Linked DNA regions of Pelodiscus sinensis. The protein of the gene in region 4 purifies or fractionates together with the protein of the main gene of each other region. This does not show direct contact. Links are inferred from orthologs where the notes say so. Each region holds a gene or a part of one and is shown on either strand. Other genes may lie near its edges.

Evidence for each region.
Region 1: the proteins of EEF1A1 (region 4) and EEF1B2 purify together in Homo sapiens (affinity purification with mass spectrometry; 3 studies listed by BioGRID and IntAct, counting the BioPlex papers as one, with this or other methods). This does not show direct contact. The link is inferred for Pelodiscus sinensis from reciprocal best matches to the Homo sapiens genes EEF1A1 and EEF1B2.
Region 2: the proteins of EEF1A1 (region 4) and EEF2 fractionate together in Homo sapiens (co-fractionation; 3 studies listed by BioGRID). This does not show direct contact. The link is inferred for Pelodiscus sinensis from reciprocal best matches to the Homo sapiens genes EEF1A1 and EEF2.
Region 3: the proteins of EEF1A1 (region 4) and EEF1G purify together in Homo sapiens (affinity purification with mass spectrometry; 5 studies listed by BioGRID and IntAct, counting the BioPlex papers as one, with this or other methods). This does not show direct contact. The link is inferred for Pelodiscus sinensis from reciprocal best matches to the Homo sapiens genes EEF1A1 and EEF1G.

What each region holds. Positions count from the first base shown.
Region 1 is NC_134717.1:75,105,066-75,112,256, forward strand, and holds the start of EEF1B2 (elongation factor 1-beta), read left to right. Parts: upstream 1-4,187; 5' UTR 4,188-4,267; coding exon 4,268-4,347; intron 4,348-4,635; coding exon 4,636-4,758; intron 4,759-7,040; coding exon 7,041-7,164; intron 7,165-7,191. UniProt on the Homo sapiens protein: Catalytic subunit of the guanine nucleotide exchange factor (GEF) (eEF1B subcomplex) of the eukaryotic elongation factor 1 complex (eEF1).
Region 2 is NC_134729.1:22,015,432-22,023,208, reverse strand, and holds the start of EEF2 (elongation factor 2), read left to right. Parts: upstream 1-4,777; 5' UTR 4,778-4,930; coding exon 4,931-4,933; intron 4,934-6,275; coding exon 6,276-6,490; intron 6,491-7,077; coding exon 7,078-7,259; intron 7,260-7,356; coding exon 7,357-7,568; intron 7,569-7,777. UniProt on the Homo sapiens protein: Catalyzes the GTP-dependent ribosomal translocation step during translation elongation.
Region 3 is NC_134721.1:36,815,227-36,823,084, forward strand, and holds the start of EEF1G (elongation factor 1-gamma), read left to right. Parts: upstream 1-4,842; 5' UTR 4,843-4,983; coding exon 4,984-4,998; intron 4,999-6,097; coding exon 6,098-6,256; intron 6,257-6,947; coding exon 6,948-7,011; intron 7,012-7,469; coding exon 7,470-7,612; intron 7,613-7,858. Other genes in the region: POLR2G (DNA-directed RNA polymerase II subunit RPB7), read left to right, coding at 246-405, 2,004-2,054, 2,146-2,211, 2,470-2,541, 2,808-2,841, 3,078-3,091. UniProt on the Homo sapiens protein: Probably plays a role in anchoring the complex to other cellular components.
Region 4 is NC_134713.1:54,087,873-54,094,924, reverse strand, and holds the start of EEF1A1 (elongation factor 1-alpha 1), read left to right. Parts: upstream 1-4,041; 5' UTR 4,042-4,070; intron 4,071-4,771; 5' UTR 4,772-4,816; coding exon 4,817-4,960; intron 4,961-5,682; coding exon 5,683-5,862; intron 5,863-5,940; coding exon 5,941-6,237; intron 6,238-6,457; coding exon 6,458-6,608; intron 6,609-6,758; coding exon 6,759-7,015; intron 7,016-7,052. UniProt on the Homo sapiens protein: Translation elongation factor that catalyzes the GTP-dependent binding of aminoacyl-tRNA (aa-tRNA) to the A-site of ribosomes during the elongation phase of protein synthesis.

The DNA.
Region 1 (7,191 bases), on a different chromosome or scaffold from region 4:
CTGGCGGGTTTGTACCAATGGAGAGTTACGAACGGTGCGAACGCAGGGCTGCAGGCTGCTGGGGCGCTGGCGGGTTTGTACTAATGGAGAGTTACGAACGGTGCGAACGCAGGGCTGCAGGCTGCTGGGGCGCTGGCGGGTTTGTACTAATGGAGAGTTACGAACGGTGCGAACGCAGGGCTGCAGGCTGCTGGGGCACTGGCGGGTTTGTACTAATGGAGAGTTACGAACGGTGCGAACGCAGGGCTGCAGGCTGCTGGGGCGCTGGCGGGTTTGTACCAATGGAGAGTTACGAACGGTGCGAACGCAGGGCTGCAGGCTGCTGGGGCACTGGCGGGTTTGTACTAATGGAGAGTTACGCACGGTGCGAACGCAGGGCTGCAGGCTGCTGGGGCGCTGGCGGGTTTGTACCAATGGAGAGTTACGAACGGTGCGAACGCAGGGCTGCAGGCTGCTGGGGCGCTGGCGGGTTTGTACTAATGGAGAGTTACGAACGGTGCGAACGCAGGGCTGCAGGCTGCTGGGGCGCTGGCGGGTTTGTACTAATGGAGAGTTACGAACGGTGCGAACGCAGGGCTGCAGGCTGCTGGGGCGCTGGCGGGTTTGTACTAATGGAGAGTTACGAACGGTGCGAACGCAGGGCTGCAGGCTGCTGGGGCACTGGCGGGTTTGTACTAATGGAGAGTTACGAACGGTGCGAACGCAGGGCTGCAGGCTGCTGGGGCGCTGGCGGGTTTGTACTAATGGAGAGTTACGCACGGTGCGAACGCAGGGCTGCAGGCTGCTGGGGCGCTGGCGGGTTTGTACTAATGGAGAGTTACGCACGGTGCGAACGCAGGGCTGCAGGCTGCTGGGGCGCTGGCGGGTTTGTACTAATGGAGAGTTACGCACGGTGCGAACGCAGGGCTGCAGGCTGCTGGGGCGCTGGCGGGTTTGTACTAATGGAGAGTTACGCACGGTGCGAACGCAGGGCTGCAGGCTGCTGGGGCACTGGCGGGTTTGTACCAATGGAGAGTTACGAACGGTGCGAACGCAGGGCTGCAGGCTGCTGGGGCGCTGGCGGGTTTGTACCAATGGAGAGTTACGCACGGTGCGAACGCAGGGCTGCAGGCTGCTGGGGCACTGGCGGGTTTGTACCAATGGAGAGTTACGCACGGTGCGAACGCAGGGCTGCAGGCTGCTGGGGCACTGGCGGGTTTGTACCAATGGAGAGTTACGAACGGTGCGAACGCAGGGCTGCAGGCTGCTGGGGCACTGGCGGGTTTGTACTAATGGAGAGTTACGAACGGTGCGAACGCAGGGCTGCAGGCTGCTGGGGCACTGGCGGGTTTGTACCAATGGAGAGTTACGCACGGTGCGAACGCAGGGCTGCAGGCTGCTGGGGCACTGGCGGGTTTGTACCAATGGAGAGTTACGAACGGTGCGAACGCAGGGCTGCAGGCTGCTGGGGCACTGGCGGGTTTGTACTAATGGAGAGTTACGAACGGTGCGAACGCAGGGCTGCAGGCTGCTGGGGCGCTGGCGGGTTTGTACCAATGGAGAGTTACGAACGGTGCGAACGCAGGGCTGCAGGCTGCTGGGGCGCTGGCGGGTTTGTACTAATGGAGAGTTACGAACGGTGCGAACGCAGGGCTGCAGGCTGCTGGGGCGCTGGCGGGTTTGTACCAATGGAGAGTTACGAACGGTGCGAACGCAGGGCTGCAGGCTGCTGGGGCACTGGCGGGTTTGTACTAATGGAGAGTTACGCACGGTGCGAACGCAGGGCTGCAGGCTGCTGGGGCGCTGGCGGGTTTGTACTAATGGAGAGTTACGCACGGTGCGAACGCAGGGCTGCAGGCTGCTGGGGCACTGGCGGGTTTGTACTAATGGAGAGTTACGAACGGTGCGAACGCAGGGCTGCAGGCTGCTGGGGCACTGGCGGGTTTGTACTAATGGAGAGTTACGCACGGTGCGAACGCAGGGCTGCAGGCTGCTGGGGCACTGGCGGGTTTGTACTAATGGAGAGTTACGCACGGTGCGAACGCAGGGCTGCAGGCTGCTGGGGCACTGGCGGGTTTGTACCAATGGAGAGTTACGAACGGTGCGAACGCAGGGCTGCAGGCTGCTGGGGCGCTGGCGGGTTTGTACTAATGGAGAGTTACGCACGGTGCGAACGCAGGGCTGCAGGCTGCTGGGGCACTGGCGGGTTTGTACTAATGGAGAGTTACGAACGGTGCGAACGCAGGGCTGCAGGCTGCTGGGGCGCTGGCGGGTTTGTACTAATGGAGAGTTACGAACGGTGCGAACGCAGGGCTGCAGGCTGCTGGGGCGCTGGCGGGTTTGTACTAATGGAGAGTTACGAACGGTGCGAACGCAGGGCTGCAGGCTGCTGGGGCGCTGGCGGGTTTGTACTAATGGAGAGTTACGAACGGTGCGAACGCAGGGCTGCAGGCTGCTGGGGCACTGGCGGGTTTGTACCAATGGAGAGTTACGAACGGTGCGAACGCAGGGCTGCAGGCTGCTGGGGCGCTGGCGGGTTTGTACTAATGGAGAGTTACGAACGGTGCGAACGCAGGGCTGCAGGCTGCTGGGGCGCTGGCGGGTTTGTACTAATGGAGAGTTACGCACGGTGCGAACGCAGGGCTGCAGGCTGCTGGGGCACTGGCGGGTTTGTACCAATGGAGAGTTACGCACGGTGCGAACGCAGGGCTGCAGGCTGCTGGGGCGCTGGCGGGTTTGTACTAATGGAGAGTTACGCACGGTGCGAACGCAGGGCTGCAGGCTGCTGGGGCACTGGCGGGTTTGTACCAATGGAGAGTTACGAACGGTGCGAACGCAGGGCTGCAGGCTGCTGGGGCGCTGGCGGGTTTGTACTAATGGAGAGTTACGAACGGTGCGAACGCAGGGCTGCAGGCTGCTGGGGCGCTGGCGGGTTTGTACTAATGGAGAGTTACGCACGGTGCGAACGCAGGGCTGCAGGCTGCTGGGGCACTGGCGGGTTTGTACCAATGGAGAGTTACGAACGGTGCGAACGCAGGGCTGCAGGCTGCTGGGGCACTGGCGGGTTTGTACTAATGGAGAGTTACGAACGGTGCGAACGCAGGGCTGCAGGCTGCTGGGGCGCTGGCGGGTTTGTACTAATGGAGAGTTACGCACGGTGCGAACGCAGGGCTGCAGGCTGCTGGGGCGCTGGCGGGTTTGTACCAATGGAGAGTTACGAACGGTGCGAACGCAGGGCTGCAGGCTGCTGGGGCGCTGGCGGGTTTGAAGGAAGCCGTCGCACGCCGGCCTGTGCCACCAGGGGCACTGCCCCAGTACGTGCCGCAGCGCGGGCCCCGGAGCCCGCAGCACCGACAGCGAGCGAGCGGCCTGGGCAGGCCTGCGAACGCCCCAGGCCCTAGGGCCGGGCCCCGCCTCAGGGCACCCGGGCTCCCCCAGCCAGGGAGACCCGGGCCGCCGCTGCCGGGCGGGGCGGGGCACAGGGGGACGCGCGCGCCCCCGCGCCGGTCAAGGGCACCCCGGGACAGGCGGAAAGCAACGAACCCGCCGCGGCAGGGAGCGGCTGACCCCGCCCAGCGCCGCAGCAAGGCCCCGGGCCCCGTTACCTCCGTGCGCTGGAGGAGCCGGCCGCCCCCGCCGCACCTATTCGGTCTTCTGAAGGCAGACGCTGCGCCTGAGCGCTCTCGCCCCGCTAATATGGCGGCCGCTTCGGCAACTTCCGTCACTCCCCGGAGATTCCATCGGCCATTTCCGTCAGTAGGGGCCTCGGCAACTTCCGTCACTCCCCGGAGATTCCATCGGCCATTTCCGTCAGTAGGGGCCTCGGCAACTTCCGTCACTCCCCGGAGATTCCATCGGCCATTTCCGTCAGTAGGGGCCTCGGCAACTTCCGTTACTCCCCGAAGGCTCCTTCGGCCATTTCCGTCACCAGTGCCGCTGATCGGTAACTTCCGTCAGTCCCCCGCTCAGTTCTGGTGATTTTCGAAAATCTTCGCGTTGTAGCCGAGGCGGAACCCCCCGAACATCCTCATTATTAGCCGTTCGCTATCTCCGTCCTCCGAGTGTCCCTCCCCATCCGCCCTGCTCCTGTGCTAAGTGGTGTGGCGGGGGATTATTTCCAGGTGCGTTCCCGCGGAGGGATAATGTCACGTCAGAGGCCCGTGCGGCGGAGGGATACCACGCACTCTCTATAAAACGGGAGCGGAGGGCTGCCTCTCTCTCTTTCTGCGGTGGGTGCCGGTCGGGTCTTGCGTCTGAGGGCTGTGACGACGACGGTACTCTCGCCGCCATGGGCTTCGGGGACCTCCGCTCCTCTGCCGGCCTCCGGCTCCTCAACGACTTCCTCGCTGACAAAAGCTACATCGAGGGGTGAGCGGCGCGCGGAGCCGTGAGGCGGCTGCCGCAGAACGGCCCCTCCCCCGCGAGCCCGGCCTGCTGGGATCTGGCGCGTGGCCTGCAGGTCGGCCTCGTGCCGCGTGGCCTGCGCGCGCTCGGACACCCCCCCCCCCCCAACAGCGGTTGAGTCCGTTGGGCCCAGGGCGGTGATGCACGAGCCGCCTGGCGGGTTCCCTGCGCCCCGGGGCGGGCGGGAAGCCTGCGGCGTGTGTTGCGCAGCGTGTCGTGCCTGGGATCGGCGCTGACTCGTGTTTTCTGCAGGCACGTGCCCTCGCAGGCGGACGTGGCGGTTTTCGAGGCCTTGTCCGCGCCACCCCCGGCTGACCTGTTCCACGCGCTGCGCTGGTACAAGCACATCCAGTCCTATGAGCGGCAAAAGGCCAGGTACCTCCAGCGGCTCCCGCGGAGCGCTCACTGATACGTGAGGGGCTAATCGCCGAGCGTCATCGTGTCTCCATGGGCTTGTAGCCAGCAGTTCTGTAGACAGGGACTTTGAACCCACGGGCTGTTCCTGGCCCAGCACACAGCTGAGCCCACAATGGTAAATAGGTGACGCTTATACCCCGACCGGATCATGGCCCAGTACAGATTCCCCCTACAATATGTACACCAGCTTCTCACTCCCCGCCCCATGTGTATCTTGAAATAGGAATTCTAGCAAACAAAATTACCAACTCTCATGTTGGGAGACCTTTCATTCACATGATCATCCTGAAATCTTAAAGTAAATTAAATAGTGACCTGCAGAAGCACCTGGAAATGTGAAAGCAAATGTATTCTTTTCTCTTTTAGTGAATTTAGTGCTCATGAAAGTTGCCGTATTGACAGCCATGGAGACTGAAGTCCTCTCTAGAAAAGGTACACCATAGGCAGCTTCAGTGTGTGCACTTTCCACACTGCCTCACCATTGTGCTTCAACCCTGTTTTGGGGGAGCCTCCTGTAGAGTTGAATTGTTCAGTCTCCTGACCTTTGGCTTTTTTGATGCTTCTGCTAACTGTATACCACTTGTGATGGTTTGTCTTGAAACTGGACAAAAGTTATAAGCTTATTTCATTAATCTCGCTACAAATTCTGACAACATCTAACTAGTACCAGTCTAGCAAAATTCAAAGTACAGGTTAATATAGAGGAACATAATCATGGAGGCTAGTGTTCTGTCACTGCAGTTTATCAGAAATAGCAATCTAATAAAATGCAAATAGACATAAAAGCTTAAGATAACATCATTTTGTCTTCGGTAGATACCTTCAGAATAATGAAGGTGCAAAGAAAGTCATAGTTAAATACACTAAGGTAGCTAAAGGAGGAGGCAGTAGAAAGGCTGAAATATATATATTTTCAAGCAATAGAGGGAGCTGTTTGCACTTCTGAAGTCCAGACTCAATTACAAACATAAAAGCAAATGCCTATTTGCAGCTGTGGAAGTAAGCAAGAGGTGTGTGTGGTGTGGACATGGGACAGCACTGGAGGCACAGTAGGTGGCCATGCAATCAGTGGCTATAGAAGTGACAGTTTTCCTTTCAAGGCACCACTTCTCTCCTGTTGGCTGTGTGGCTCTCCCTGCTCCAGAGTCCTCCAGCTTTGGGTGCAACCCCTGAGGTGAGATGGGTGGAGGATGTCCAGAAGTCCCCTTCAGAATTTCCATCTTCCTCATCCTCTAATTAAATCTGCCTTTCCATAAACACCAGCATTAAGGTTAAATAAACTATTTCTTGGTCAATTCTATTATTCTGATTGTTTAATTACTAGCATTGTTTCCTGTGCGGTTGGGTGTCTGCTTAGGAGAAATTCAAATGATGCTGAGCTGATTAGCAGAGCATCTGTTTGTTGGTGTAGATTTGCACATGCCTCAGTGCACATAAAATACTACACATGGATGGAAAAAATCTGCACACAGTGCAGATATGGATTACTAGTATATTTTGTGAATATAGTATTTCAGCTATATTATGGGTTAAGTAGGTTTTTGTGGGATAGCCTGGGAACCTAAAACCATTTTATAGCTTTCTATAGGAAAATGTGTTCAGAGTTGGGGCTTCCTGTATTTAGTTCCTAACAGGTTCCATTCGTTCTAAAACAACACAAGCCAGGTTGTGTTGATGTTAGGCACTAAAAAAGCTCATTCTCAAACAACTCCATAGCTAAAACACCAAAATCAATTAATTACCTGGTTACAAAACTAGCCTTACCACTGTACCTACCAAGCCACTAATTGATCCTCCACTGAAAACAAAGGTTTTCAAGAAATCATTTGGGTGGAAAGTGGAAGATTTATTTAATGATGCAATATAGTGTTAATTTTCAAGAACCACTAATCTTTCTCTGATCTATTGTCTCTTTTCTGCATGTTGTAAAAAGCAAAACTTACCAAATCACCCATGAACAAAATTCCAGACAAGTGGTTGCTGTTAGGTGCTATATTGTCGGAAATTCTGCTAGCAAGAGCAAAAGTAGTATGCCATTTAGCTGCCTATGCATGCGGGATTCACCATTATAATTGTCAATTTAATTATGTTGAGTGCACTTTTGGGACTGTTCTGGCTTCTCTCACTTTTGAAATTGTAGTATACTTGATTGCTATCACAAATAATCATTACTGGAGGTTCATTGATCTTAAATCTTTGTGTGTGAGATTAGGAGTGTAATATTTTGCCACTTGTTTTAGTTTGCCAGGAGTAAAGAAAGCTTTGGGGAAATATGGTCCTGCTGATGTTGAAGACGCTACAGCTGCAGCCACAGATAGCAAAGATGATGATGACATTGATCTCTTCGGATCAGAGGATGAGGAGGTACTGGCTAATCTTAAGCAACAAATG
Region 2 (7,777 bases), on a different chromosome or scaffold from region 4:
TGCTGTTTATCCTGATTGAAAATAAATTAAAAAAGAGGGAATATATTTAGCCTCTAAACAAGGAGAGAGCGAGAGTCAGGTCGCCTGGATGCTGTCCTGGCACTGACTTACTGTGTGACCTTGGGCAAGTTACTTATGCTCTTTGCCTCAGTTTCTCCATCTGTGAAAATGGGACAAGGAGACTTCCCTATTGCACAGGGGCTTGACAGAACAACAGGTCGGTTTTTCCTCTCATACCAGATTGTCATGGCTGTAACTCCACAGCCTGCAAGTAAGAGATTTGTACCAGTCTGAGAGAAGAATTTGGTCTGATGTTTTTGAAGCACTCTGAGATCCTGTGAAGGAAGCTACATATAAGGCAGAGAAGTATAAAAAGGAGCAGAGTAGATCGCTGATATTTAGGCCAGGTCTACACTAGGGGCGCTACAGAGGCATAGTTACAGAGCTGCATTTATGGTGCTGCCACATGGTAGTGTAGACGATGCTACCTACAGCAATGGAAGGGGGTTTCTGTCTGTGTGGGAATCTGCCTCCCATGTTATAGTAGCTAGGTTAATGGAAAAATTCTACCATCAGCCTAACCACGTCTACATTGGGGGTTAGGTTGGCTTAATTGTTCACAACCCTAAGAACTGCAGCTATGCTGACCTAACTTAAGGATAGATCAGCCCTTACAGGTCATAAGGGTGTATTTTCAGAGTGATACTTTAGTTTTTCGATGCATTTTCAAGAGCCAGGGAACAAAATATTCAGACTAAGCTAACTGCAGATGGGTTAAATACCGAGCAAGGAAAGGTTCTGGAGTAGGAGTGCATTTCTCCCCTGGAGAGTGTGAATCCTCTGGCCATCCCTGATATAATGAGGCTTTAGGTAGTGGTGATGTGTATCTTTTAGAGGGGGCTGGGATGCATCTTGTGATACCTGAGCACAAAAATATTAGCAGGCAGCCTGAGCCAAGCAGGTGGACTGAGAGCTCAGTGACAGATTACTGCCCCACTCTCAAAGCACTCCACTCCTTGTGCACTTTAGGATCCTAATTTGATCCAGCTGACTTCATTGGTCCCGCCTCCCTCTAGTAGTGCTAGGGGAATTCTGCAATTGTTGCATTTGGAGCCACAGTAACATTGCAGAATTCTCCCAGGACTACCCCTCCCTCAGCTTCTCTTTTCATCTAACAACAACCTCCTCTCTGCGCCCTCATGCTATTTCACCGCTGACGTGAGAGCCTTCCCCCTGCAGCTTGTGTCCCTCTGCCAGGGCTGAATGCACTTTAAGGGGAACCTGCCTTTTTAAGGTTGCTGCAGTTAGTCTAACTGCCTCCCAGCCCATACACTGCAACTCAGGGAGTTTCCAGAGGCATTGAACATGCCCCAAAGGCTGTCCTCATGGCCACTATGCCAGAGAGGGCTTTCACCGTCAGGATAGCAGTTAGTCAGCTCTGGGACTCTCCTCTGCAGAGGGAACAGGGACAGGACCCCATCCCACCCCACCAGGAAGCATGGTGCACTTGCATTCTTTAGGGCCCTCTGTAAGATGCATTCATTCGCACTGTCATCTAATCCATGAGAGTAAGCCAACAATAGAGAGTCATGGGAGAAAAAGCCAGATCACCCCAGATAAAGGATCTGGGTAAAACCACAGCAATAGGGGGATTCTTAGAACTAGAGGAGATGTACAATCCTGTTTAATTGGTTAAACATCATGTTTAATTGGTTAACCAATTAAAGGGGGGGCGGGCTGGAACCCGGTTGGAGCAGCCTCTGCCTGTGACCACCCTGGGCCCGCTTCAGATGCTCTGTAGCATCACTCAAACCTTTTGCATCCCTAGTTAGAACCTAAGTTTTGTTTTACTGGTGCTTAGAAACCTAGGCGATGAGTCTCATGAAAACAGCTAGGTAGACAGATATCGCTGACCTGTACCTCCGCCTGCAAGGGACTGAGCATTCCGCCAAGGTGCGAGGACTTCTGCGGCGTGTGTTTCAAGGAGACATTTTTTAAAACCTCCCTTGTTGCTTTGCACATGCAGAAATCTCCACGCCTTCCCCTTACAAAGATCTGGATGAAGGTGAAGCCTGCAAGAACGAATGAGCACAACAGCACCCAAGTGCCAGCTTTTAGTGGAGGCTCTAAAAATAATGCTCTTCAGCACCCGATTCCTGCTCTCCCCTCCTGGCATGCCAGCAAACCCACAAGCACCTCTGGGAGCACTTGGCTTGCACCAGAACCTCCCATCCTGTAGGTGGAGCTGCTGCTCCTTCCTCTTGCGGCCAGTACATGCGCAGCACAGGATCCCTGCAGAGGTTTTCATTTCATTTCCCTTCCCCCTCCTCCTTTAATATTTAATGCAGGCCTTGGAGTCCTCCCAGCCTATGTCCCCTCCCCCTTGATATTTTGGCCATAAGCACAGAAATAATGGCCATAATGTAGCAGTAAAGATACAACAATCAAAATACAGAGGCCAAAAATAAAATAAATCGAGGGAGGTTAATGTCAGAAAGAAACACAAAGTGCTGAGTTATTCCAGCTTCTGTTTCATTGTAAGCATCTGGCAGCAGCTGCATTTGAATGCTCTAGCAAGGACCCCATAAGAGGCAATAGTTTCAAAGAGAAGAAGGTTCTGAGAGTGTCTGCCGGGTAAAAGCAACCCCCAGCAATTGGTGGTGGTATATTTTTCATGAATGCTTTTCTTTGATTTACAGAGAAGGAATGGACCACACTGGGTGAAAGCCTGAAAACCTTTACTCATGCAGCTGTTTCCTTAGGCTACAGAGAGATCACTCGCATAGGACTTCTTGCTTGTGTGGGAAATCGGAAGATCAGGCCTCAGTGTACAGCTGACCAAATGTTAACATGGTAAGCCAAAGGATACTGCTTCAACAAATGGTGTATGCTTTAAAAAACAACCCCCCCCCCCAACAAAACCCCAAACAACCACAACCCTTATCTGAATCTTGCTTTTAAGGACAAGATTATAGAGCCTGCACCAAGCAGAGCTGACTTGACTGAATGAGGGCTCCACCTGGAGTCCACCCATGTAGAGCTCATTTCAGGGTCCGGGCCAAAGCCAGAAATAATGTATCTGTTCAGCAGTTTGGAGCTGTTATGAATCACCTCCAGCTGCATTGCAATTTGGAAATTAATTAGACTAATACAATCCTAGGGCTGGAAGAGACCTCAGGAGGTCATTGAGTCCAGCCCCCTGCCCAAAACAGGGCCAACCCCAACTAAATCAACCCAGCCTGGGCTTTGTCAACCCAGGACTTAAGAATCTCCAAGGAGGGAGATTTCACTGCCTCCCTGCGTAACCCATTCCAGTGCTTCACCACTCTCCTAGTGAAATAGTTTTTCCTAATATCCAACCTAGACCTCCCCCACTGCAGCTTGGGGTCCTGATTCTCATCTGCTTTATGCTGAGGTAACGCAGGAGTCTTCCTCCATAAGTCCGTGGTTACAGCTGTAAAACTGATGAAACTGAGGAGTGTCCCAGTTTGTGTTGGGGGGAAGAGAGGTATTATTACCCACACCTTTAATGAATGGAAGTGAACTGGCCAAGGATTTCAAAAGCACATATTTTAATTGGCTTATTCCCTATTATATTCTTTTTTTATCATGTATTCATTTTAGTTTAGGAATCAAGATAGACCGCTTTACAACTTAGTCATAACTTTTCACAAAAATATACAGGGGATTCCCTTAGAACCCAATTCTCAGTTTAAATAAATGGCAAGATTCTCGTTAACTTCTGAAAGAGCTGTATCTGATACTTGGCTATAATTGATTATACAAGAGTTTGAACAATTACTGATGTAAGCAGGATCTGAAGGAATGCTACTGATGTACAAGAAGCCAGACTACTGCAGTCTCATCTAATCATCATGGTCAAGCCAGTCATAGAGATAACCTTAGGCAATGAATTTTGTTTTCATTTAGAAGATTATATTCATTTGCTTAATTCCATTAAGTGAGGTGTTAAACATCCAGGACTAGCTTGTATTCTTGATAAGGTTTTAAGCAGAGTCCAGTTTAATTCACCTACATAGTGGTTTTATTAACATATTTTACATGTATCCTATGAAATATGGTCCCTGTCCTGGAAGGGGATTTGAGTGAACAGCTTCTCATGCCTTCCTGGAATCTTTCTGATTTCAACAGAACACCCTTTGAGGGATCATATATAGGTGACCCATAACTAGAGGATCAGCTGCGGTGGATCTGTGTTCTAGCCCTGAACTTTAGCTCCAATTTGTGAGTGTGTCATGCAGATCAGAACTCTCCATTACTCCACCCTGCATTAAAAGTAATCACTCAAGAGTGGATGTGATTGGAGTTGATTTTGTCCACAGAACAGTAGTACTGTAGTTTAGAGACAAGTATTAAGGGACTCCCAGTTTGCCAGAAAACTTGCAAGTGTTATGTTTATGCATCAACCCCACAATGTCCTATACCACCCTTCCTAAGTCTTACCCTCGATTTATTCTTCATTTACTTGAAAGGTGTAGAGCTGGATTATTTCCTATTGTTGTGCTTTGAATCATAAACGGGTTACAGATTAAACAACCCAAGTCTTACCAGTTTTAGCATTTGTAGCAGCCCTAGGGTTTTGCCCTCTGGGATACTTGCGTAGACTGGGGCTCCTCCTATGTAGAGCCACGTGGTTGCAGGATGTCCCTTGCGCAGAGTTAAAGGCCCTCCGCACCATAGAACGCCCTTAAGGGTACCGGGGAGGGAGACAGACGCTCCGACGCATGCGCCTTGAGCTGCCCGCTGTCCCCGCCTCTAGGCCGGCTCCGGCCTATAAGAAGGCTGGGCGTTGACGTCAGCTTTCTCTTCCGCCCGCTCTGTCCCCGCCAACGAGACAGGGCTGCAGCCGCCGCCATTACCGGTCCCCTCCTTTTCTCCGCTCCCGGAGAATCCGCCGCCATCCGCAGCCATGGTGAGCTACCGGCACCTAGGGGCGGGCTGGGGGGCTACGGGAGGCCCTGACCTGGGCGGGCCACTGGATATGGCCGCCCCCTGGCCGATATGGACCAACGGGGAGGCCTGGGAAGGTGGGGGTGGGGCGGCTGCCGTGTGTGTGTGCGCGCGCGCGCGTGCGGGGGGGGAAATGTAACTAAGATCCCTAAGAACTACCTGTTTGCTGTGGGGCCTGGGAACGGGGGGGGGGGGCAGAAAGAGGGCCTGGGAACGGGGGGGGGGAGAAAGGGGGCCTGGGAACGGGGGGGGGGGAGAAAGGGGGTGTCTTCTCCCCCTCTTTGAATGGGGGGGGTGTTGCGCCATCCAGCACTATGGAGAATGGAGGGGGTGGGGAGCGTCTTCTCTAGGGGTGAATCCACCCCTGGATTGGGCTGCGTCCTCCTGTTAAAGGAAACCCCTTCCCTAGGGGAGCTCCCACAGTAGGGCCTCTGCCAGTCTCCCCCTTGGCGGGTGAACTGTGCCCTGTCTGAGCGACCTACCCACCCACCCCTTTTACAGGGTGTGGATGCGCCATCAGAGCACTAGGGAGGGGGTAGGAGGCTTTGAGGCCTGCTAGCTCGACAGAGCTTCCTTGCTGAGCAATGGGGGTATAGGTGTGAGCTTCTCTGCAGCTTGCCCTTGCTCTCCTAGCGATTGTGCTGGTTGCTCTGTGTTGATCAGCCTCTTTTCCACCCCCCAACAGACAGGCGAGCAGCTTCCTCACGTCTTGTGTTCAGGGGTTTGTTCATTAGGGGAGCCTTGAAGCTGTTGTGCAGCTAGGAATGATGTGGCGGGGTGGGGGAAGGCAAGTGCCAGGATGTGTTTCTAGTCTCTCCTCTGGTCAAAGGGAGGTACTGCAGCCTGGGGGAAGGGGGAAAATACTGCCTGCAATGAGGTAGTAGCATTCTTATGTAACTCTGCAGTCTAGAGTAAAATCCCAGCTTGGATGTCTGGGTTGTGAAGAATTGGGATCGGATGTGGCAGGTGTTCTGAGTTGCTTATTTTGTGCAGTATCATGATGGTTCTGTGCGGTAGGGCTAGGAGTACAGGTATGAAATGTGAGCAAAGGTGATCTTAAGACTTTTTATAGGAGACTTTCTTGACTGTAAGACCCTATTAGGCTGTGCAATTGACTCCCCAAAGTAAGTACTAAATGCCTGGTTGGAGGCATTCAATGAGATGAGAACGCACTGAAAAACTGCTTTCTCTGTGTTGTCCTGTCATGTTTACTGAGCAGTCTATTTCAGTGACACTAAACTTGGCACTGCCATGTCTGGATTCCTGGAAGAACTTGCCCCTGACTGTATAACCTTCTCTTCAAGGTGAACTTCACAGTAGACCAGATTCGGGCCATTATGGACAAAAAGGCCAATATCCGAAACATGTCTGTGATTGCCCATGTGGATCATGGCAAATCCACCTTGACTGACTCCTTGGTATGTAAAGCTGGTATCATTGCCTCTGCCCGTGCGGGTGAGACTCGTTTCACAGACACGAGAAAAGATGAGCAGGAAAGATGCATCACCATCAAGTCAACGTAAGTTCTGTCCCTTCAAGCACATTCTGGTGTTCAGTTGCTTCTGGTCTCATCACAGAACTGGGATTCAGGAACTTCTGGGTTGAAATAGTATTTTGGATTCTAAAATGGGGGAAGAAGAAACCATTTAGTGCTTTGGCTGCCTCAGAGGTTTACTTCCCTGCCCTATAGGGTATTGTGAGTGTTCTCTAAATGTGTTGAGAATTAAATAATGGCTTGTACATAGTCCATCAGTTAAAAACCTCGATCTTGGTAATCAAAACAGTGAACAAACGTCATACAATAGTAAGATTAGAACTTTTCCTGTTAACCTATGTTTTGTCTACTTCTGTAGACACTACCTGGAATTCCCAGAGCTGATTTGGTTAGTGATTTCTTTAGCCAGCAACTTAACTATCTCTAACTCTTATGTGGGGTGGGCCTATCTGCTACCAGAGTGAAATGCAGTGCCAAAAATACTCCTTTTTAATGCATTATCATGTAGCAGTTCTTTCAAATGCACAATGCTAAAGCAGTTACCATAGATTACAAGCGGATAGCTGATGTAGTAAAGTGAACCTTCTAGTCTTGTGTATCTTCTCTTTCAGAGCGATCTCTCTGTTCTATGAGCTGTCGGAAAATGACTTGGCCTTTATCAAGCAGAGCAAGGATGGATCTGGTTTCTTGATTAACTTGATTGACTCTCCTGGACACGTAGACTTCTCTTCAGAAGTCACAGCTGCTCTCCGTGTCACCGATGGTGCCCTGGTGGTTGTAGACTGTGTCTCTGGTGAGAACTGGTAGCAACATTTTGATGCATGTTGTGTAGAAGTAGCATGCTAGTCCTGCAGCAGTAATCTCCAAGATTCTCCCCCTGCCTTCTCCAGGTGTGTGTGTACAGACAGAAACTGTGCTGCGACAGGCCATTGCTGAGAGGATCAAGCCAGTCCTGATGATGAATAAGATGGACAGAGCACTGTTGGAGCTGCAGTTGGAACCAGAAGAGCTGTATCAGACTTTCCAGCGTATTGTGGAGAATGTCAATGTCATCATTTCCACCTATGGGGAAGGAGAGAGTGGCCCCATGGGAAACATCATGGTAAGAAGAATCTGGAAAGGTGTTCCAAGTGAGCAATTGGCCAAAGCTTGCCTTCAGGTTGTTAACCCTTTCAAAACATCTGTTAGCAGTGCTCCTCCTTCCTCTTTGAAGTAAGGAACAGTTGTCTTGTATTACTCTGGAGGCTATTGATATTGACGTAATGTTTACTATAATACAGTATGGGTTGGTATGTTGAGAAAATTGTTATT
Region 3 (7,858 bases), on a different chromosome or scaffold from region 4:
AGGTAACAAGGCTGGGGGAGATGGGAATGTATTTGGAGGGTTTGGGAAGCAGTGGGGTGGTGGGTTGGAGATCCAGGACAGGTGCAGATTCATGGAAGGAAGGGGATAGGGTTGCTGTTTTGGAGGGACCGGAAGAACCTAGCCCCTGGTGGTGAATGGGGGAAGTCCCCTCTATTGCAGCTCATTCTTTGTCCTGTTCTCTGCCTGTGAATTCTCTAACAGAGCTGGTTCCCACTCTCCCCCAGATATGGCTTTGTCATTGCAGTCACTACCATAGACAACATTGGGGCAGGTGTCATCCAGCCGGGTCGTGGCTTCGTGCTCTACCCTGTCAAGTACAAGGCCATTGTCTTCCGGCCCTTCAAGGGAGAGGTGGTGGATGCTGTGGTGACACAGGTCAACAAGGTAAGCCATTGCTGCAGGGGTGGGGTGCATTTGTATGAATTTGTGGAGTATATAATGAGAGGACCATTATATCATCTCCTCTGCCCTCCTGTATAACACAGGCCAGAGAAGTCACCCAGACACCCCTGCATTGAATCCAATTACTTGAGTCCTGTGGTAACTCAAAAGTTGAGAGCCCCGGGCAGAGAACAGGAGAGACCAAACAGTTACCAGTGCCCCTCCGAGGACCCAGAGTGGCAGGGAATTGACTTGGCAAGATATGCCCAGATGATTTGAGCAAGTGATTTACATGCGCAGGTCTGTAAGGGAAAGCAAGATGCTCCAAAGGTCCATGTCAGTCTGAGTTGGAGGGGAAAATTCCTTCCTGACTCGTCTGGCAATTTGAGCATGGTGCCCAAGCCAGGCATTTAGGAAGAGGGTTCTCTGGACCATCTCAGAGTCCTGGCCCACTATGCCCAGTGTTCCATTTCCAGCAGTGGCCAGTCTCTGCTGTTTCAGAGGAAAGTGCAGTGGGGAACCCAGCCTAACACAGATTGTGCATTTGGAGGAAACTATTCCTTCCTGATTTCTGCTGAAGCTCTGAAGCATGAGATCAGATTATAGCCATTGTCATAACGCTGAGCTACAATGGTTGTGTCAATGCAAACAATCCTGTTCTCTTCAAGGCCGGTGAAGGAAAGGGTGATTCATGTAGCTAAACCTGTGGGTGGATCCCTAGCTTGGGACTATGCGGTGTCCTTGTACCAAGGATGTAGGAACCCCAAAGCAGCTCTGGGAGGAATGTGCGAAGGCTGTTCTGTCTGACTAGTATCTGAGTCCCAGGGTGTGAGCAGTGGCTGTCTTGGGGCTGGAGAGGGTGTAGCTATTGATGAGGGAACAGGATAACCTCCATGTGTACAGGCAGTCCCTGAGTTACGCGGATCCGACTTATGTCAGATCCGCACTTACGAATGGGGCTTTCTCGCCCCGGAGCTCGCAGGCAGCGGGACCGGCCAGAGCGCAGCGGTCCTGCCACCTCGACCTCCGGGGTGAGAAAAGCTGCTCCGGGTGCCCCTGGTCTGCTGGGGACCGTCTCCAGCAGACCAGGGACACCGGGAGCAAAGCCGCAGTGGCGGTGGGGTCCCGCGCCTCTGAGGCTTTGCCAGAGCAAAGCCTCAGAGGCACGGGACCCCGCCACCGCTGCGGCTTTGCTCCCCATGTCCCTGGTCTGCTGGGGGGGAGAGAGGGCGCAGCTAGTGCCCCCTCCCCCCCAGCAGACCAGGCTTTTGTTGTGGACCCTGGGGTAGAGCAGCTGGGGTGCTGCCGGGTTGGTCCTGCAGGGACCTACCTGGCAGCCCAGCTGTTCTGTCCCAGGCTCAAGATTCAGCTGCTGTTGAAACTGATCAGTGGCTGATTCCAGGAAGCTGGGGGCAGAGCAATTCTGCCTCCAGCTTCCTGTAGTCAGCCCCTGGTCAGTTTCAGCAGCAGCGGCTGAATCTGGAGCCAGTTCCGACTTGCATACAAATTCAACTTAAGAACAAACCTATAGTTCCTATCTTGTACGTAACCCAGGGACTGCCTGTATATGCTAATGGAATCACTGCTTCTGCTTCCTATAGGTTGGACTCTTCACCGAAATTGGGCCCATGTCCTGTTTCATATCTCGACACGTAAGCACAGTGCTGGGGAGAGGCAGCTTTGGGAGCAGGTAGGGTGATATATGGAGAGCTCCTTTTTCACTGACTCTTGTTCTCTTCTCAGTCCATTCCCTCCGAGATGGAATTTGACCCAAACTCCAACCCTCCCTGCTACAAGACAGTGGATGAGGTGAGTCCTGGGTAGATGGTGTTTTGAGGGGAGCTTGTGGTGTAATGGGGGTGCGTGGAGAGGGAGAGAGACTCAGCTGGGGACAAGGGAGATGCTGGAACAGGCTCATGGGTGGTGGGGAGAATTTTACTTCCTCCATATCAGACACGCTTTATTTGCTGGAGTTATGTGCAACTCTGTGTTTAGCCTTTTTGGCCTCTGCCTGAGAAAAGGAGGAAGTTTGTAAATGGGTCTCACTCTAGTGCTGCATGTCTCTAGGACATCGTGATCCAGCAGGATGATGAGATCCGGCTGAAAATCGTGGGGACCAGAGTGGATAAGAATGACATTGTGAGTCTTTGGTGCCTCTTTCAAATATGGTGCATGCACGCGTGTAGATCCACAGCTCTCAGCATGGAACTGGGGGCAGGAACTCATGGCTAATCCAGCCCTAGCCTCTCCCAGCAAGGAAGAGGGAGCAGAGCAAGAGGGCTAGGTCATTCATTCCCAGCCTCTTCCAGCAGGGGGTGCTAAAATACTGGGGATGAGCAGCCCTGCTCAGGTAGAGGCAACTCACCGTCTCTGTTTCAACACTAATCTCTGTGTTTGGTTTGCAGTTTGCAATCGGTTCCCTTATGGATGATTATCTGGGTAAGTCTCCTCTCTAGGGTCGGGAGGGAGTAACTAGATGGGCTGAGCTGGCTGAGTTCACATTGGGTTTGGGTGGCGTGAGTCTCTGCTGTAGAGTGCTTGACATGTGTCCTGGGAACAGTGTGGGCATTTCCCCTCTGTGATGGGCTAATGGTGTGGAGCAGGGGATCAACAGCACCTCCTGTGGGTCCGGGCTCTGGCTGCTCTTGATCTCAACCTTCTCTCTTCTCACTCAGGTCTTGTGAGCTGAAATATAAAACCATCCCTCTTGCTGCATGTCGGGATTCCAACTGGGAAACAATTGAGCTGTACCCAGGCCAGCTTCTGTACCTACTGCTGTATTTATAGGGTACAGATCCACTCTCCTCCACCCAGCAGCTGGGAGTTGGGGGCAGAGGGTGGCTGACAGACCAGTACTTTCTTCTTCACCTCCAATAAAAGTTCATTTGTTTTAATAAAGCAGCATTTTGTCTTTCACCCCTCAAAGCAGGGCCGGCCAGCTGCCTTGGCTGGGGTTTGTGGCTTCCTTTCCTTAGCACAGAGGGGGCTGTCCTGCTCACCAGCACTCTGGCTGCGTGATGCCTCAGCCTTACATGTGGGTAATAAGGGAGGCACAATTGTGTGGCTGTTTAGTTTATGCCATGTGTTGTATAGCTGCCAGTCTGCCTTTCCCAGAGAGCCTTGCTGCTGTTACTGGCTGTAGTCTGGCAATGGTCTGGAGCTGTATTCACACAGGCAGTTCATCCCCCCCCCCCCCCCCCCAGCTGACACTCCTAAGGCTACATCTGCACCACACCCCAGATCCTCACTGGGAGGTCAAACCACTGGCAGTAGATTTAGGGGGTCTAATAAAGACCTGCCAAATGGACCACAGATCATTCTCTAGTTGTCATGTTGCTCTGCCCCCCTGCCCCCCCCCACACTCCCATGAGAAGAGTAAGGGAAGTCCACAGGAGAGTTTCTCCCATCAACCCTGTGTGACATAGAGCCTTCAGTAACTTAAGGGATGTTGACTCCAACTATGTTATTGATGTAGCTGGAGTTGCTCTAGCTTGAGGTGACCTTCTGCTGCAGAGTAGATGTAGTCTAAAAGGCAAGATAGGGATAGCTACAGGCAAATGATAGACTAGCACTGGGGAGGGAGGCTGGGCTATTCTAATCCAGCAATGCAGGAATACTGGGTTGTGCACCCCTGCCTTTAGCTAGTCTGTGAGCAGTGTTCCCTGTAAGGTGAGTGCTTGGGCAGCTCCCCCAGGGGAGGTTCAAATGCTGCTTGGCTGTGTTTCCACTGGTGGTGTTCATCTGCACATGCCTTGGTGCATGTAAAAAAAGTTATTCCACACATGGATGGAGTTCTACATGCTGCTCGCATCAACCTATCCTAAAGAGCATGCTGGGTGCCCTTTGATGACGGACTTGGCTGCAGGAGTGGGGGGGTCTGCAGGAAAGAACAGAGAGAGAGTTTGGGGCAAGCTCTGCTCCAGGGAGCTACTGGCCAAGACCTGCACCTCTCCAGCTATGCCCTCTACAGCCTCTACCTCTCTCAGCCCCTGCCAGGTGGCACCCTGGGCCTCACTCCTGAAGAACTGGTGCAGGAGCTGACTCCAGGTTGTGGTGTCTGACCTGGAAGGGAGCAAGCTACCTTAGGAGGTGTGGGGAGGGCAGACACCAGGTGCAAGTTAAGGGCAGCTGGAGCTGGGGGAGCAACCCCAGGGCCCAAAGCAAGTACCACAGAGCCAGCAGCCCTGTCCCAGCAGTCCTGCCCCTCCCTCCCCGCCAGCTGGCGGCCACGTGCCCTTTCCCACTTCATGCAGAAGCGCGGCAGCGAGCCAAGCAGGGGAGGGAGGAATTAAGAGGGTAAGTTAGCGCTCAGAGGGAGGGGCCGGGGAGCGCCCACGTGGTTGGAGTTTCAAATCCACGTCCGGCCCCTCCCATTACGCAGCTCTCTGTGCACTTGGCTCCCAGAGACTCCGCCCCTCCTGTCGCGTGTATAAAGCCCCGCCCCGTGGTGACGCCCTATAAAGGCGCCGAGTAGTGTTGTGTCGCGCTGCGACTGGGCGTGCGGCGTCTTGCTTTGTGGCTCGTCTCCTTTTCCTTTACGGCCGTCCCGCCCCGCGCTCCTCCCTTTCTCTGCTCGCTAAGATGGCGGCGGCCGGGGTAAGTGTGTCGCTTCTGCGTGTCCCTGCTCTCCCTGGGCAATCCGTCCCCATCCGTTCCTGGCGGGCTGGCCCGGGCCTGGGGGAAGGGCAGGGCTGGGGTGCGGGTGGGCTCGTTTACCTGTGGCTGCTATTGCTGGGGTGCGCCCCTGGGGACTGGGTGGGGAGGGGGCTGACCCGCTGAAGGAGAGGTGGGGCTGGAGAGGAGCGAGCGGTTCAGGGAGGCGGCCCTAGGGGCCGGGGGGGTTAACGCGAGAGGAGAAGCTGTCGGGGTGTGTGAGAAGGCTCCTGCTGCTATGGGGCAGTTGCTAGGGGGTGCGAGTTTGTGCCTCCCCAACGACTCCCTACTATAGGGGGGTGTTTTTGCCTTGGAGTCCTTTTTTTTTGAGGTATTCGGGGCTGCCCTATAATTTAGGTATTGCTGGGGGGGTATAGTGCTCGCGGGGGAGAGGAGCCTTTCTGAGTGTGCTGGGGTACCTGGTGTTGACCATTGACTTGGATTTTCTTGTCCTTGTGTGCCTCTCTAGTGGAGAACTGGCCAAGGGAGGGTATTGGCTTCTGAGTTTGGTCAGTGGGATGGGAGCAATGGATGGGATTGGCTCAGCATGAGTCTGTAAAGAGAGGCATGGCTCTTTGGGTGCATGGCAAAGCTAGCAGTGAAAATGACAGGCTAGACATGTTGCACGGAGTGCTTGGGTCTGTGGGGGTAGAGGTCTTTGTGCATGTGTGGGGAATGCTGAAGCAAAGGGGGTTGTCTGATCTGGGGTGGTGATAATTTCAGGGGGAGTATTGGGAGGTAGGATAGTGGCTGTGAGAAGGTGCTGTCCCTGAACTGGTGAGGGACCTGGCAGGGTAGATGAAGGGAGCTACTGTCTGGTGGATGGGGGGTGGGGGGTGGGGGAATACCTGGGAGGTGATGGTAGCTGAAGAGGTAAAGGAGGTGTCTGGTTGGTATGAAGGCTGGTAAAGGTTGGTATGAAGGTATAAAGGAGGTAAAGGTTGGTATGAAGGCTGGTAAAATCAGGGTGCTGTCAGTTGAGTTTAAGGAGGTGACTTGTTCCTGTGTTTCTCATACTTGATTCATTTTCTGTGTCCTACAGACTCTCTACACCTATCCTGAGAACTGGCGGGCATTTAAAGCCCTCATTGCTGCCCAGTACAGCGGGGCTAAGATCAAGGTCCTTTCCACTCCACCCCAGTTCCACTTTGGGCAAACCAACAAGACCCCTGAGTTCCTGAAGAAATTCCCTGTTGGGAAGGTGAGTAACAGTGTTACATGTGCCTCCTTATGCTGAGTAAGAAGCAGGCTTGGGCAGTGGGTATTGCTGGATAGTGCCAGACTTCCAGTAACGAATCATTCATGTCAGAGAAACAGATGTCCCATGGAGTCACTGTCCTCTCCTGTAGTCTCCATGTGAGGGATATATGGTGGCTATGGGGTGAGGGGCGCACCTGGTCTGGTAGCAGGCAGATCAGCTTCAAACAATTTTGAATTGCATTTCGTGGTGTGGAAGATGTTGGTAGCTAGAGTGTGGTAGTCGCTCATGTCACCTTGCCCCTTGGGCAGGACACAAGTGACAGCTGTGCATGAACTTGGGAAGTAAGCTTAGAAGGGGCAAACTCTGAGTGATTCCTCTCCAAGGCATGCTTCCCATGTAGCCTGCCTCTTTGTTGCTAGCCATTCCAGCCTTCAGGTGGGCAAGAATGGCTGTCTAATGAGGCCATGAATGCCTTCTCTCCCCTCCTCCCGACTGTCCATGATGGATGTCAGTTGGAACAAGATGCCCTTGGGGTGACCAGTGTGTCAGATGAGGGAGGGAAGGGTCTGGGAACTGGCTGTGCTCTGATAGCTGGTAGAATTAGCCAGGGTAGCTGGAGTGAGGGGGTGCTGCACAGGCTGGTGAAAGCCTTGGTTGCTCTGTAAGGGGTGACATGGTGTTTGCTTTTTAGGTTCCTGCCTTTGAAGGGGCTGATGGATTCTGTGTGTTTGAGAGTAACGCCATCGCACACTATGGTAATGGCATGGGGGCAGCCCCCTACACCTGGGTGGGGAATGAAGGAATGTGGTGGGGGAGAGCATACCCTGTCCAGCTTGCTCCTAGCAGTAAAGCTAGAGTGTTCTTGCCCCATCCAGCTGCTCCTTCCTGTGCTGCTGGACTAATGGCACTGGCCAGCCCCTTCCTATATCCAGTGCAACTGTAGTTGGATCAGTACTTGTGTATTTGCTTGCCCTGTGGTACCCTTGGGGACTGGGCTTGGCTCTCCCCGCTGCTGGCTCTGCTAGGGCAGATCTGCTTTCTGTCCACTGATGGCAACCACACTCAGAGTGGGTAATGCTGGTGCTGCAGGGGATAGATGTTGGTCTGTGGTGGTGGGGGTGTAGGTTTGGGGTGGGAAGAGCTGGGCATGTCTTGGCTGGATGGGATTGGTGTCCTTGCCCATGCTGGTAACTAGCTGGCTCTCCTGTTCCAGTGAGTAATGATGAGCTGCGGGGATCCACCAAGGAGACAGCAGCCCAGATCATCCAGTGGGTGAGCTTTGCTGACAGTGACATCGTCCCTCCTGCCAGCACCTGGGTCTTCCCTACGCTGGGCATCATGCACTACAACAAGCAGGTCAGTGGCATGAACAGGTGGCACCTGATTTATTCATCAAGAGAAGAAGTTGGCTCCTTCCCATCCCTGTGTGTGTGTGGAAGAAGGGTAGTGGGAGCCCCTGGTAGCAAGCAGCACTATCAGGAGCAGAACCTACCATCCACTGCGGGAGACTCAAAGGTTTAGAAGTTGTCCATGAGGCAGGATCAGGACTCTAGAGGTATGCGTCACTAGCTATGTGATGGTAGCACTCGGTGACCTGGATCA
Region 4 (7,052 bases):
TATCTGCCACCAGCCTGAAGGCTGAGAAACTCTTTTTATGCCATGTGGAACTGAGAGATCACTTGAAATTACAGCAACAAATTAAAAATTATTGCAGATACTGGATGAATTGGGGAACCAATGGTTGGACAGAGAGCTCTTTTACCTCCAAGACTGATGGCTGAGTGTTCAGAAAATACTGCCTATTTGACTGGTGTAGGAATAAATTGAGTAGACTTTCTAGGAGACACTATGTAGAACTCTGACTACTCTTGAAAATAGTCACTTATTTGCATGCTTAATATGGACTCTAGACCAGTGGTCTCCAACTTTTTAAAGCACAAGATTACTTTTTCAATGTAAGTCAATCCAGGATCTACCTTAAACCCAAATACACTTGCCACCACCTCCTTCCCCCCTACCTTCTTGGAGGCCCTGCCCTGCTATACTCTTTCTCAGAGGCCTCACCCTGCCCACTCTGTGGAGATGTGGTACAGAGGTGGAGAGAAAGGGAAACCCTGACATCACCACTGCCTTTTCCCCCCTCCCCCACCCGCACAGCAAGCAGGAAGATCCTGGGGTGCAGCTCCAAGGCAGAGGGCAGGAGAATCATAGTAGTGGGGGGGAGAGGCAGCCAAAATGCTGGCAAGTGATAACCTCCTAGACAAACCGGTTACGTTTTTAAATCAGTTAAAAAGCAAATAGCTGTTTATGCAAGAGCTTCCACTATTTCAAGCCCTAGTGGAACTGACCTGATGGTGGCAACCAAAGGATATCTAAAGGAAAAACAAAGACTATCCTTTCTCCATACAAGTTTTTATTCCCTTCCCCAGATTTGTTTAGAAAATGATCTTATAGGCTACATCTACACTGTAGCCTTCTTCCGCAAAAGCTTATGCAAATGAAGCACAGAGTGGAATATTGCTGCGCTTCATTTGCATAATTAATTAGCAGCCGCTTTTGCGCAAGAGGTTCCTTTTTTTGGCGTAGACGGCTCCTTTTTGTGGAAAATCCCCCTTTTGCGCAAGAGCCATTCTTCCTCATTTTTTCAGGAAGAACGGCTCTTGCACAAGAAGGGGTTTTTGCATAAAAAGGAGCCGTCTACACAGCTCCTTTTTGCGCAAAAGCCTCTTGCGCAAAAGCGGCTGCTAATTGATTATGCAAATGAAGCATGGCGATATTCCACTCTGCACTTCGTTTGCATAAGCTTTTGCAGAAGAAGGCTACAGTGTAGATGTAGCCATAGAGTGGACAAGAGCAGTCTTTATGGATTGTGGTCATTCCAAGCACAACTAAGCACAGCTCCAACAATGTGAGTGTTGAATAATATGTCTCCAAACTAATTACATGAAGAATTTCAGTATAAAACATTGAAAAATATACCCCCGTCATAATCCGTGGTCAAATTCAGTTAAAATGATTGCTAATGCATGTCTCCGTAATATGTGATAATCCATTGTAACACCTCAGTATGATTAAACTAAACTGTAATTCTTCAAATATACTCATGTACACATACCATGCAATAGTCACATAGAAGACTATTATCTAAATATGGTTAAATATCTACAAATACATTGAAAATTCCTTTGATTACCCAAAATCTCAAATATCCATTTGCTAAATGACAATGACAGGAAAGGTGGTGGTATTGAAGCTGCACCTTTATTTCAACATGTGCTCTGCTAATTTCTAATCTGCTTTAGTTTCGCGGGCTGGGAACCCTAATAATATGATGTACATCAGTCTCAAAATTCAATGTCCTGTGAAGTGCATCACAGATTCCCCAGGTAATAAGAACACTCTTGAACAGCTTTCACAACCATATTAAAGCAAAGTTTTACGCTAATGGCTGCGTCTAGACTTCCTGCTTTTGTGGAAAAACTTGCCAGCTGTCTACACCGGCTGCTTGCATTTCCGCAAGAACACTGACGATCTCATGTAAGATTGTCAGTGTTCTTGCGGAAATACTATGCTGCTCCCGTTAGGGCAAAAGCCCTGTTGCGTAAATGCTTTTGCACAAGAGGGACAGTGTAGACAACGCAATATTGTTTTGCGCAAAAAAGCCCTGATCGTGAAAATGGCGATCGGGGTTTTCTTGCGCAAAACCATGTCTAGTTTCGCACGGACGCTTTTCCACAAAAAGTGCTTTTGCAGAAAAGTGTCCGTGCCAATATAGACGCTCTTTTCCGCAAATGTTTTTAAAATGTTTCCGTTAAAAGCATTTGCGGAAAATCATGCCAGTCTAGACGTAGCCTACTGAGTGTCTATTCAAAAATGACAACACACATAAATATAGGGAGCAGACCTCATGAGTATTCAGTGATATCTGTTTATTCTAGTGAGCAAATTAAATCTTTGCTGCAGATAGCACTGCAAATTTGTGATATTTGTGCAAATAAGTGCCTTTGTCACAGAGAAGGAATCAAACAGTTGTTTTTATTCAGAGGGTCCAGCTAAATTCATCTATGGAACCCCACAGGAGAGAATAGCATGCATGCAGCACCACAAAATATATGTAACGCAGAATCTTATTACTAATGGCGATGCATAAGAAAATCCCAGCTTGACTTTGAACGAGGAAGACTGAGAAAAATAATCTTTTAATTTGTAAGAGCTTGTATACACCTGGAATTGTACAGAAATAACTATTTTGGAAGAGAGTCTCTCTTTGGAAGAGTAATGGTGTTAGTCTGTAACTTCAAAAACAATAAGCAGTCCTGTGGCATTTTAGAGACTAACAAATATATCATGAGCTTTCATGGGTAAAATCCACTTCATAAAATGGGTATTTTGGTAGAGTTAGTCAACAGGTGAATCCTTGAATTTCTGAAGTCCCAGTTTAGCTTAATTTATGCACTAACCAAAAGCAAGGAACACTTATTCTGGGGTAAGAATGTCCATGCATTGATTTACTCAGGTTTCAAATTCACACACACCTTCCTTTAATTCAAATTAATTTAAAAATGCTGACAAGCCCTAACGTAAGCACACTTAATCCAGAGAAACAATTAATAGTGGAACCTTAAGTTGTCCTTTTTATAAAAAGCTGTTGTAGCAGTGTTGGGCCCAGGATAGTAGACCTAACAGATAGTACCTCTTACAGGACCAAGTTCTGTTGATGCAGAATAAATTTTATGTGCACCATGGCATGTGCAGACATGAATCTCCAAAAGAAACACATGCTGCAAGCTGTTGGAGGCTGTGGGCGCTGTGCTGATCAGCTGGATGGTATTTAAATTTCATATGCAGCTCCCCAAGTGCTCAGTTTAAAGGGAACACGGGTGCATTGGGTGGGGGTAGGGGACTAAAGTAGTATGGTGTTTTCAGCAGATATATAAGGATAGAGTAGCACAGGTGGCGGAAAAGGTGATTTTAACACGGAGGGAAGCGTCATGATCTCTGGGGATCAGGAATAATGAATGGGATGGAAAGGGGCAGTCGGTGGAACATAAGGAAAGCGGGAGATGAAGGCGAGGCTGCACATACCCAGGGTGGGTAGGAGAGCTTGAACGTCTGAAGGGGAAAGCAAGTAGCTATGGTGACTAGACAAGAGGACTGGGCGCCTGGGAGCTTGTGTGAGAAAGAGACGGGCTGCGGGGCACGGGGAGCAGCTGGAGGAGGCGAGTGCCGAGGGACGGTGCGTGGCGGGTAGCACTGCGCGGGCTGCTGTCCCGGGACAGGCCCATGGGCAGGGTCTGGGGGGCAGCGCAGGGGGATGGGACACAGGCCAGGAGATTCCTTCCCCCCGACTGCCCTGCCCTGGTGACCGTGTCTGAGTAGGAGCAGGTCACGCTCAGAGAGGGGGGAGGGGCTGCCGCGATTCAGGGCGCGCGGGAGGGGTCATCACCAAATTCCGAGCGGAGACACCCAGCGGGGCTGCGGCTGGCAGCGCCCCCTGTCTCGCAGCGCGCAGAGATATTTGTCCCGGCTCCCTGCCCAGCCCGACGCCAGCGGCGGTGGGAAGGAGGAGCGAGTGGAACGCTGGGAACGGTGACGTGTCCCGGAGGCTCCGCCCTCGCACAGGATATATAAGCGCAGCGGCTCACATTGTCGGTCTTTTTCGCCACGGGTTTGCCGACGCTTAGCAGGTGAGAGGCGGCCGCGTGGAGCAGGCCTCGGTGGGGGGAGGGGTAGGCCCGCCCTATGTGGCTGGAACAATCGAGCGCGAGGCGCATGGTGGTTGAATGCAGCCTTGAGCGGGGAAGCTGCGGCGCGTGCTGGGGCTGGCGATAGGCAAGGGAGCCGCGAGACGATGGGGGCCCTTCTGTGGGCGGGGGGGGGTTCACAAAATGGCGACGTGGCCACGCGCTGCCCCCGGTGGGTAGCGTATGGAACCCGGACTGGGGAATCCCCTTCGCGGCGCGGGAGGGGGGGGGAGGGCTCCCCATCTGCCGGGCGGTGTGGGCCGGCCAGACGTGCGGGGGGTGGGAGCGGGGTCGCGCTCCCTAGTGCGGGGCCGCTCCCATTCCTCGCCGCCCCTTTCAGCGAAAATGGCCGCGTCTCCCGCACACGCGCCACAAAATGGAGGACGCGGCGGTCCGGGCGGAGTGAGTCAGTGACACAAAGAGCCGGGCCGGCCGGCGCTCGCCAGGCCGCATGGCCGCTCTTTCGCTCGCGGTGGGAGGGAAGCGTTTCTCGCCTTGTGTGCCCCCTCCCTCGCGGGGTGGGCGGAGCCGCGGCCCTCGAGTGCCGCCTGGGCCTAGTCGCGGCCGCCACGCCCTGCGCCGGGCGCCGCCCCGTTAGCGGCGCTCGGGCCCGGGCTCATTCCTGCCGCCTTTTCCCTGCCTAGGAGTTACCCTTGTAACGCGAGAGCGGCCGCCGCGAACCACCCAACATGGGCAAGGAGAAAACCCACATCAACATCGTCGTGATCGGCCATGTCGACTCCGGCAAGTCCACCACCACCGGGCACCTCATCTACAAGTGCGGGGGCATCGACAAGCGAACCATCGAGAAGTTCGAGAAGGAAGCCGCGGAGGTACCGCCACTAGCTTGCTTGCAGTGCAGAATGGAGGCTCAGCAGCTGGGTGTGGTTGCTCCAGGCCACAGTTGGTGAAATAGCACCTCTTTTAAACTGCTGCAGACTGTAAAGATAAATCCATCCGTCCGGACTGGGAGAAAAGACCTGACCTAAGTACAGCAGGGATTTTCAGAGTTCCCAGCCTCTGGCAGGGGTTTCAATTAGACAACACTAAGCTGCTCTGTATCAGCAACTGTTAAATCTAGGTTTTTTAAAGGCTGAGCAATACATGGCTCTTGTACCACAAAGAGCACCAATGAAAAGCATTACAACAGACTGCATCTCAAACTTGAGTGACAAGATTACCCTAGCCAAAAATTGCCCCAGGGTAAATAGTACATACTCTAGCTGTGGAAGAGATTACAGTACTATGAAAACAAGAGCTTATAGTGGACACTTGATACAGCCTTGGCTCTGCTTGGTCTAACTTTAAGAGATGTATTAAATATAATTAAGAGATTGAGGGCCAATGTGGTGTCAGGTCAAATACCAGAAAACAGATGGTATTTCTCACCAGTGATGCCAAATGTATTCAAGCCAAAGTGCTCTTAGCATTACAGAAAACTAGCTGCAATGGAAGCTCTTTACTACTTTGAGATGTTCCCACTAGCATTGGAAATAATTTAAACTGCTATAAAATAGTGCAAGATGTACTAACACACTTTTTTAAACACCTGTAGATGGGCAAAGGTTCCTTCAAATATGCCTGGGTTTTGGACAAGCTGAAGGCTGAACGGGAGCGAGGCATCACAATTGATATTTCTTTGTGGAAATTTGAAACCAGCAAATACTATGTCACCATTATTGATGCTCCTGGACACAGGGACTTCATCAAGAACATGATTACTGGCACCTCACAAGTATGTAAATGTGAATTCAGTTGGGTTTGTTATCTATTTGTGGTCCATGTAAAAAACTAATTATCCTCTTCTCCAAAGGCTGACTGTGCTGTCCTTATTGTTGCTGCTGGTGTTGGTGAGTTTGAAGCTGGTATCTCCAAGAATGGGCAGACTCGTGAACATGCCCTTCTGGCTTACACGCTGGGGGTAAAACAGCTGATTGTTGGTGTGAACAAGATGGATTCCACTGAGCCACCATATAGCCAGAAGAGATATGAAGAAATTGTCAAAGAAGTCAGCACTTATATTAAGAAGATTGGCTATAATCCAGACACTGTAGCTTTTGTACCAATTTCTGGTTGGAACGGGGACAACATGTTGGAGCCTAGCTCTAATGTAAGTTTGCATTTATTTTGTATATCAATTGAATTGAAAAGACTGCCAGAGTGAATTGTCACAATAATATGCATTTGAATGGAGATTAAATTGTTAAACTTGTCAGATCAAGGCAAGTTTCAATGTTTCACAACTTAAGATACAAAGAAGAAATACTCGTAAATATTCAGATATGTGAATAGGAAGGACACAAGTTATGTTTGTGCTGCTTTTTGTTTAGATGCCCTGGTTTAAGGGATGGAAGGTTACCCGTAAGGATGGCAATGCAAGTGGAACTACCCTGCTAGAAGCTTTGGATAGCATACTGCCACCAACTCGTCCAACTGACAAGCCTCTGCGCCTGCCTCTGCAAGATGTCTACAAAATTGGCGGTTAGTATTTTGTGTGAAGACTAGTTCTGTAAATTTGTCAGTTTGCTAGTGACATTCCAACCCTTAAACTGCAGAAATGGTAACATTTGTCAATCTTTGTATAAGTTTAAGTTGTAAGAAATAAACATCCTAGAGGGTTTTTTCTTTCAGGTATTGGTACTGTACCAGTTGGTCGTGTGGAAACTGGTATCCTGAAACCAGGCATGGTGGTAACATTTGCTCCTGTCAACGTAACAACTGAAGTAAAATCTGTTGAGATGCATCATGAAGCTTTGAGCGAAGCTCTGCCTGGTGACAATGTTGGTTTCAATGTCAAGAACGTGTCTGTGAAAGATGTTCGCCGTGGTAATGTTGCTGGTGACAGCAAGAACGACCCCCCAATGGAAGCGGCTGGCTTCACTGCACAGGTACTGTTTGGAACCATTTGAAGGTCTTTGGAATTCA